Nothobranchius furzeri: one gene and its partner. The protein of the gene in region 1 purifies or fractionates together with the protein of each later gene. This does not show direct contact. Links are inferred from orthologs where the notes say so. Each region holds a gene or a part of one and is shown on either strand. Other genes may lie near its edges.

Region 1 (4,258 bases):
ATGGGGCAGCTTCTTTTACAGTTTATAACAAAGCTTAGGCTTATAACGATCGATGTCAGTCATCAAAAATCCTTTTCTCCAGGATTTATTTTCCAGATTTGGTCGTTTGTGTTGAATTTCAGCATCGATAACAAAAGTATCCATTTGTTTCCAGAACTTGGTTTGGATGTTTTGAAGACCGATATCATGAGAAGGATCGCTGAACGACCTCAGTTTGGAGAAATAGGTCAATTCTGATAGGAGAGATAAGCTAACGGCTAGGTACAGTTGGGCTAAAAACAAAAGTGGGCACCGTTGTCACGAAACGTGTCAAGAAATTGAAAATAAATTCATGTAAATGCTCATTTATAAACTAGCTATGGCTGCAGACTTCACCTGATCAGATTGGTGATTAATTTTATTTTTTAGCAGAAGTTGACGCAGCTAGCTTTAACATGTCCGACAGGAACATCATATTTCTGCTACAACATACATGATGAAAGGTCATTTAACTATGCCAACTGATTAAAAGTTCCCTATGTAAGGAAGCCAGCAGGTTGCATCGAGTCACTGACTAGTGTCAGCATCTTTACAGCAATCCTCATACTAAGCAAGCATGCAGTGACAGTGGAGAGGAAAACTCCCTTTTAACAGGAAGAAACCTCCAGAGGTTTCAGGATAAGCAGCCACAATCATAAGATTAGCTTTGGTCAGTTAGCTTGTCAATCTGACATTAGTCTCCATTTCTCCAAACTGAGGTTGTTCTGGGAGTTATCTGCAAGTTAGTTGTTTATAAACGTTCTACAGAGCTAAACATCAACACTAACTTATTTAGAAATGTCAAGATTCATCTTTTGAGGGCCGATACTGATTTCTGATTCCTGTACCGAAGACCTGCCGCTACAGATTTGTTTTAAAAGATCCACAAAAAGCAGAAAAGCCATTTTAAAAATCGGATTATGTTCGTGGAAGTCAAAGACTTCTAGCGTAAATCAGCAGCGGTGAGATGAAGGGTCGGGAAAACGTCTGATTATTTCAGCTCGACCGCGCTGCGTTCACAACTTAAGAGACAATCTGATTTTTAAAGTTCAGATTATCAATACGGACTCACTTCCTCATCCGGTTTCTTGGTGCATCTCTGATATACGAACCTCCTATGACCAGATGTTAATGGTTAAGTCTAGAGCGATGACACGCTCTCATCGCTTTAGGAGCTCTGTCAGAGGTGTAACCGTCTGAGCTGTAGCTGCACACCTTCGTATCCAGAGTGGACCCTCTCAGCGATGAGCAGGCAGCAGGGCTGTGGCTCGGCGGCGTCCGAGTCCCTCAGGGTGAGCCGGTAGGGCGTCAGCCGAAAGGGGAAGTACCTCATCTCGCCCCCCTGGGCCCGGTCGGCACGGATCCGACAGAACATGGACTTCTCCTGAGTGCAGTCTACAGGAGGAGAAGCTGGAGGGAGCACAGAATCTGTTAGGTTTCTTGTTGCAGCTCCCAGTGAATTAACTCTGGTTTCAGGCAGCTGACCTGAGCCGATGCAGGAGGCCCAGGACGGCAGGCGGCACGGCGCTGTGCCGCTGTAGAAGGTGCTGACGTCCTGCGGGGCCAGGAGCTCTGAAAACACGGCTCCCTGGAGACACTCGGGCTTGCAGCGCAGCAGGGACGAGCCCTGGGGGGACACGTACACCACTTTCCCCGACAGGAACGACACGGCCATGGAGAACGTGTCCTGGGAACGACCAGACCCGGGTCAGTCCACCACACCACAGCTTCATTCTAACCCTGAAGTCAGAAGGGTGTTGAATCTCACCGTGTTTTTGAGAGTGTACTCTGAAGTAATGTTGTCCAGCTCCTCGATGGTGAAGGCGGACAAGTCCAGGCTGCAGCCGTGGCACTCCTCCACGCTCCACTGGTGATAGTACTCCCTGTTGGCTGGGGAGGCAGAACGAGTCCAAGTCAAAACGCTCAAACCAGCCCCATCCACTTTCTTTCCCTAAAAAATAAGCCCCGCCTCTCACCTCGGACCTGTCGGACACACTGGAGAGCGTATTTGAGAGCGCTCAGCGTGCTGGAGTGACCCTTGGCTTTGCGCTCAGCTGGCAGGCGGACCTTCAGCTCCTTGATGGCCTTCATGAGCTCCTTCTGCGTCTGGAGCCTGGCCGACTGGTCGCTGCTGCAGCCGGAGGTGGAGCGGGGCTCGTGCTCCGAGCTGTTGGACAGCAGGCTGTAGGCCAGAGAGCCGTTGGGGGGGGACAGACTCTGGAAGTTGGGGCTGGAGAAAGAAGAAAAACTTTTAATAAAATAGAAGATCAAAGTCAGGATCAGGGGGATCGGTTTTCTTGGAAGTAAAATGCAAAAGACATGAATCTTTTGTCTGTGGTTTGTCGATTCAGACGCTGAGGGCAGAACTTCCTGGAATCATCTGAGCAGCATTTTCGGTTTCTGACGCGACAGATAAACGGATCTCAGCTAGACGGTGTGGCGTTTACCCCACCCCCGCCCCTCCTACCTCTTGCTGTTGTCTGTGGTCTCCAGCATCACCCCCGAGTCCTTCCCGTTAGAGGAGCTGTGGCTGCGGGAGCTGCTGTTCTCCCTCGCCATCTGGCCCTCGCTGTCCCTCTCTCCAGAGTCGTTCCCGCTGGACAGTCCATCCGTGTCGTCCGAGTTCAGCCCCCTTTGGTCTCCGGACGGGCTGCCTGATCCGGACCCCTCCCCTGGGGACGATCCCCCTGCAGCTGCAGCTGTGACATCACACTGGTCACAGCTGGACTTCTGCTCATTTAACTGCTGCGACTCAGCTTCCTGGTCCACCTGTGTGCTGCTGCTGGGCGTTGATGTGGAGCTGTCATAACTCATACTAATCTAGAATGAGGCCACGCAGCTCAACTGGGGCAACTGGGGGAGTTAAGTGGGACTACTGTTTAAGCACAAGTGCAACATAGCTGTTAATTGCTTATAAAGAAAAAAAGAAATGTTTTGTTTTTTTTGCGGGGAAAAACAAAAAAAGGTTTTGAAAAATGCCACTCGGGTCTGGTCTTGAGAGGACTTGTTGCTCACAAGTCACGCAGAGAGCAGATGAATGTGCTGTTATGCAACAGCCTTTGGCACAAGCGCTGGGACAGATGGGAGGAGAGAGACGGAGAGGCAGTGTGAAGAACCAGATGCTGGTTTGCAACACGAAACAGGGAAGGAAACCACCGGTCTTCTCTTCAGAGACGCGCTGCTCTGGGAGCTAAAAGGACACCTGGGAATGAAAAAGCAGAACGAAAAAGCAGCATTAGAGGTTTTGCAGCACTTCTGAAAAAGATCTAAAAAGATAAAATTGCATTTCTTCCACAAATGTCGTTTGAATCAAGGAGCTGAAGCCAACCCCAACGTGGAAGTACCAAAAACTGCAGTTCCCACCTGATCCACTAGAGGCCAGATCCAGAAGGGAGCACGTTCCCATCGACTCCCATGTTAAAAATGCTAACTTCATAGCAGAAATCAACATTTACAAAAACATTTTAGGGTTGATAGGTCTGGCGTACAGTCATGACACCTCTGACAGGTGAGTTTCTTTGGTTTAGTAATCTGTTTAGATGTAACTGGTGAATGGCCCGTATCTGATTTAGTGCCTTTTAGAGGTCTAGAACCCCCCAAGGCACTTTACAACACAATCAGTCACCCATTCGCACACACATTCAAACCCTGGTGTTGATGAGGTACGATGTAGCCACAGCTGTCCCGGGGCGCACTGACAGAGGTGAGGCTGCCGAGCACAGGCGCCACCGGTCCCTCCGACCACAATGAAAGCTTGAAATTATGAATATGTGGGGGCGTGCCCTTTTAATTTACAGGTATCAGATGAGTCAACAGTGCTAGCGCTAGCAGCTCATCCCCCTGCTTGCTCCGGGGAAGGCCTGATCAGTCTCGTGTTAAAAGTGTTATAGCCTAGAAGGCAAAGGGTGGCAGAGTTACTCAACCACAATTTTATTGCCAAAAGCGTCCACCAACCTCTGTTAGCTTTGTTTAGCTCATAGCTACATCAACTCAGCCCTGCTCTCAGCTCCATTTTGGTATTTTCCAGGAGTGATGAGACACGGCGCAGAGGGTTTGTCTAATTATATCAACAGTCAGTGGCTTGAATGCCAATTAGGCCCTGGCCACTTGCTCACTATATCTACCGTGCCTCTAAATTTAGGCTCCACCCACTTGCTTACATGCCTGCCTGTGCTCCAGCTAGGGATGTCCCGTTCCGATATCGGAAGTAATTCGATATCTACCCCAAAACTGTATCGGA
Region 2 (4,398 bases), on another chromosome or scaffold:
TATGATCTGGTTTCTTTCTTTTTCTTCTTTGTCCCGATTGTGCCCTGAGCAATTTTATGAACAAATAACAAATAAAATCAATCAACATTAAATAATCGAGACCTCAAGTTCAGTCACAATAATCGTGATTATCATTTTTGCCATAATTGAACAGCCCTACTCTTTAGTGTTTAATGTTTTTGACGTCTTGTCTATGCAGAGCTTCTGTAGTTCAGTTGCGTCCATAGCTGCTAGCCAAACCTCAGTGGAGTTAAAGTCTCTTGTGTTTTCTGGATTTATTAAAATATCTGTCTGTACTTTTTTGATTGATGGCAGTTTTTGCTTTTTATTAGACTCCAAAAGTAATCATTTAGCATGTTCCTAAATTATAATTTGTAAGAATGTAATCAGTGATATTATCAATAGCATCCCGTAGGGTTTTTCAATGTATATTAGCAATGTGCTAACCACTCTCTGCCAGTCAAATCGCAGCCTTTGCGATTAGAAAATCTTTTTTGTCACATCACAATTTAATTGCATATAATTTCCCTACTTCAAACTAGAAGCTAATGATGGGTATATTAGAGCATCCTGGACTAATCATCAACAAAACTGATGATTAGTCGACTATTTAGTCATTTGTGGCAGCCCTACAGAAGACGACGTGAAAACATTACCACTGCTGCTGCATTGAAATTCACTAGTCTCTGGAGCTGGTCAAAACAAAGACATTCACTTTAAGTGTTCGCATATTTTGTACGTAAATGCTATTGCATGTTTGTAGTGTATTCTCCATTGATTAAATAAACATTCTGCAAGTAATTCAAGTTTCCCTGTTGTTGTCCTTTCTCTTAAAGGATACCCAAACTTTTGAGCGTTTGTGCCACTTAGAGGCCATTCTTCCTTCCCAGTAAAGCCTGACTCCGGTTTCACACTGCAAGTATCAGCGGAACGGAACAGCAGCGGAGCGGCTCACTCGCGAACTTTAAAGCGGTCCTTTTCACACCGGGAGAGTCTTGGTCGCGGCACGGCTTCCTCGCTGTGCCTCGTTGTACCCGCGAGATTCTAAAATCCCTCAAGACTTCCGACACCTTCCTCATCGAGAGATCACAACCCCTGCGAAGAATCGCACCGTTGCACTCCTCGAAAGAAACTGGTGGTAAACAAAGCTGTTCGGTCACACTTACTGACGTAAGTTATATATAACATTGTAACGTTGCATTTTATTTTGAAAATAACCGGGTATTTTACACTGAAACCGTGTGGTTTCCTGTCTCGCACTATGTGAACTGCGGGAATTGACGTGTCCCAGAAGTGGCTCCCGGAACAAATAGAACTCGATGTTGTCCTGGCAGAGAATTGCTTTGCAACACCCCTTGGGCAAACGGGGAAGTATGACAGTAAAACGCTTCTATCAATCCGTGCATGTCTGTCCCTTGTGGAGCTGACGCAGAAGCATGACTCAGGCTTAAACGCGTAGCTCGTTTAAGCTACACAACATGAGTGGTGATGTAATTTGCGCCAAATGGAATTGATAATGGAATCGTATGCAAAAATGGCAAATGATTCCAAGGAACTGCAACTGTGGGAACCAGTTCTCAACAAGAACCGGTTTTCAATTCCCAACCCTAGTATTTACCATCTTGTACTTGGACGTAGAAATGTATATATATCTCTGACCATGTGTATGAGCAGTATCAAGTAGTAAAACGGTCACTTTTAAAGGTATTGGTCATCGACACACGTTCATCCACAAATTGCTTTCACCTAATAAGTAATTATATCTGTGGAGTAAAAGCTTCATCACATAACTGGTGTTAAAACCTATAAAAGACACCTTGCTTCCATCAGTGTCCCCATGACAGCTGTGGCTGCTATGTAGCTCATCATCAACAGTGTGAAAGGGTGTGTCATGCCTTGGGGATTGTAGAAAGCGCTATATATAAATAAAGGACATTTATTCTTTGGAACTATTATGAATATAACTCAAGAATAAACGTAAGTATGCTTTGATTCAATGTAGGCATTTTATTTTTCTGGTTATGCTTTAGTTGTAGTGAACTATGAATGGATCACCTTCATCTTTGCTTTAAAGCAGCCAACCTGCATTAATTGTCTACAGTCTGTATTTCTCTGTATGAGCTGCCTTAACGAGTGGATTTTCCCACTGTGGGATCAATAAAGTATATCCTAATGTATTCTACTCCCTTATACTTCACCGTCAGTAAATGGGTAAATATAACAAACTCTCACCCAGTAAAAATGCAAGTGTTTCTGAAACCACGGTCTGGTCGGTCATTTTGCTCACAGACTAACGTCGTTTACAAGGAAAAAAGAAACAGGAACTTAAACATAGCCTTTAGCTTCACAGCTAGCGTCAGTTTCGTTGTTTTACACAGTATTCATTATTACGACGCTCACAAAAGACAACTGCTACCAAAGTCGAGCACAATTAAACTCGATTAAACTTTACAATAGCCGGCCTTTATCCTCTTTTAATGCCGAAGTGAACAGAAAGAAACGTGAAAATTACATACCCAAGTAGATGTCTCCAAATGATCCACTTCCAATTTTTCTGCCCAGCCTGTATCGGTTTCCGACTCTCAACTCCATGTTGACAAAATCTGACAGGCTAGCAACTACACTCGTTAGCTCCAATATTTGTAACAAAACTAATTTGTTCAAACGCAACACAATATTAAAAAAATATGAATCCAAAATCCTGTTTTAGCGATATATTTCGTCTTCTCAGGATTTGTGGGCTTCTTTTTCGCCTCCTTTTTCACAATATTATTAACATTATCTATAAACAATACGATGCTTGTCGGAAAGGTCAGCGCTTGTTCTTTCTGCTCCTGCTATTGTTAAAAACCAGTACGCGTTTATTTTACACGGATGAAGCTGGATTTCGAAGCTAGGTACCAGCTCCGGTACTCTGGCTTACAGATACTAGCTTAGAGCTTGCTAGGCAATTTATCGGAGGAGTTTGACGTCACTTCCTGGCAAGATGAGCGGAGAGGAATCCACCAGAGAGCATGTTAGTGAAGATACACCTATTAGTAACGTTTTGTTCCTTTGTTTGTACGGTTTGTGCAGATTAAATGTAGCAATATGAAAAGCGTAAAATAACGATAAAGCTTTTTGTATTGCAAATACAACACTCAAACATTTTTAATAGCTACTAGAACATTACCTCTGTTCTTGTTTACTGATAGAGACCAATCTTCACTAAATCATTGTGTCTGGTCAGTCACAACAAAAGATTGTTTCCTTTGTCCTCTTGGCCTCTGCCCATCATGCACTGTCCATCTCGCATGAACTTGTAAAAACTCAAATAAAATTAGGCAAGACCTAGATAGTTGTGAAATAACACCAGAAAATCTTGCCTGAATTAATGTTGAACGTTGTTGAATGTAAAAAGTTAAAACCGTAAAAAATGTCCAAGAAATTCTGCAATGGAAAAACGGCTCAGGTCAGCTTAGTTTAAGTTGTTTTTCCAAGTTAAGCTGAGATACGGCTACATGGGTGCACACCAGTCGTGTGCACATGCCCCATGCAATCTCACCCAACATAAAGTAGCGAAAAATGATCTGTAAACAGCGTAAGGGGGTCTGTATGCCACACATGGATGCTTGCTTTCCTCTTAGGTTGCTTATGAAATTATATTATGACATAGTATCTTATTTACACTATTTTATTTTCTCCTAACTTAAAAGTTATTATGCAGAGCTGTTTATAAAGTGTAGTGCTTAATTTAGATTAAGCTATAGAATGTCTATTATAGACTTTGACATTATCAGAACCATACTTTTGGTGTCAAATATAGCACTAGTCTACGTGTAGCACTGATTTTAGATGCACCCTTACAAGGGTGTCTTGTAAAATAAACTCCTTCACCCACAGCTACTGTTGTTATGAGAAGCTGCTAGATTGAACCTTGAAGTTAGAAAAACAAATTCCCAGACTTTCAGAGGGTCATCTGACTTCTGGGAGCGTTCCAGCTAATTGTTCCTACTCTGAAGTTAGAATATTCGAGTCCCCCAATGGAACACACCAATTGACTCCCTGTTGGTTTTAATATAATATAATATAATATAATATAATATAATATAATATAATATAATATAATATAATATAATTTTAAATATATTACAAGGACAATGTCCTTCCTTGGTCAAAGAAAATGGTTAAATGGAACAGATTTGCATCATGTGACGTGGGAGATAAATTTTATATGTATAAGTTTCAATTTTAAAGCCTTTTACATTTTAAATTGTGTATATTTGTTAAATGAAATATGTAAGCGAGTTACTACTTGCTAGCCACCAAAGCTGCATTTACTAAGCAACTAACCAACCATAGCTAACATCTTTGGATCTAAAAAACATTTCAGATATTTGCCCAATAGCTACAATTAGT

Evidence for each region.
Region 2: the proteins of per1b (region 1) and csnk1da purify together in Homo sapiens (affinity purification with mass spectrometry; 4 studies listed by BioGRID and IntAct, counting the BioPlex papers as one, with this or other methods). This does not show direct contact. The link is inferred for Nothobranchius furzeri from reciprocal best matches to the Homo sapiens genes PER1 and CSNK1D.

The regions. Positions count from the first base shown.
Region 1 is NC_091742.1:55,050,640-55,054,897, forward strand, and holds the start of per1b (period circadian protein homolog 1b), read right to left. Parts: upstream 2,993-4,258; 5' UTR 2,833-2,992; coding exon 2,486-2,832; intron 2,249-2,485; coding exon 1,995-2,248; intron 1,909-1,994; coding exon 1,787-1,908; intron 1,706-1,786; coding exon 1,504-1,705; intron 1,429-1,503; coding exon 1,234-1,428; intron 1-1,233. UniProt on the Homo sapiens protein: Transcriptional repressor which forms a core component of the circadian clock.
Region 2 is NC_091758.1:11,453,637-11,458,034, reverse strand, and holds the start of csnk1da (casein kinase I), read right to left. Parts: upstream 2,824-4,398; 5' UTR 2,593-2,823; coding exon 2,517-2,592; intron 1-2,516. UniProt on the Homo sapiens protein: Essential serine/threonine-protein kinase that regulates diverse cellular growth and survival processes including Wnt signaling, DNA repair and circadian rhythms. It can phosphorylate a large number of proteins.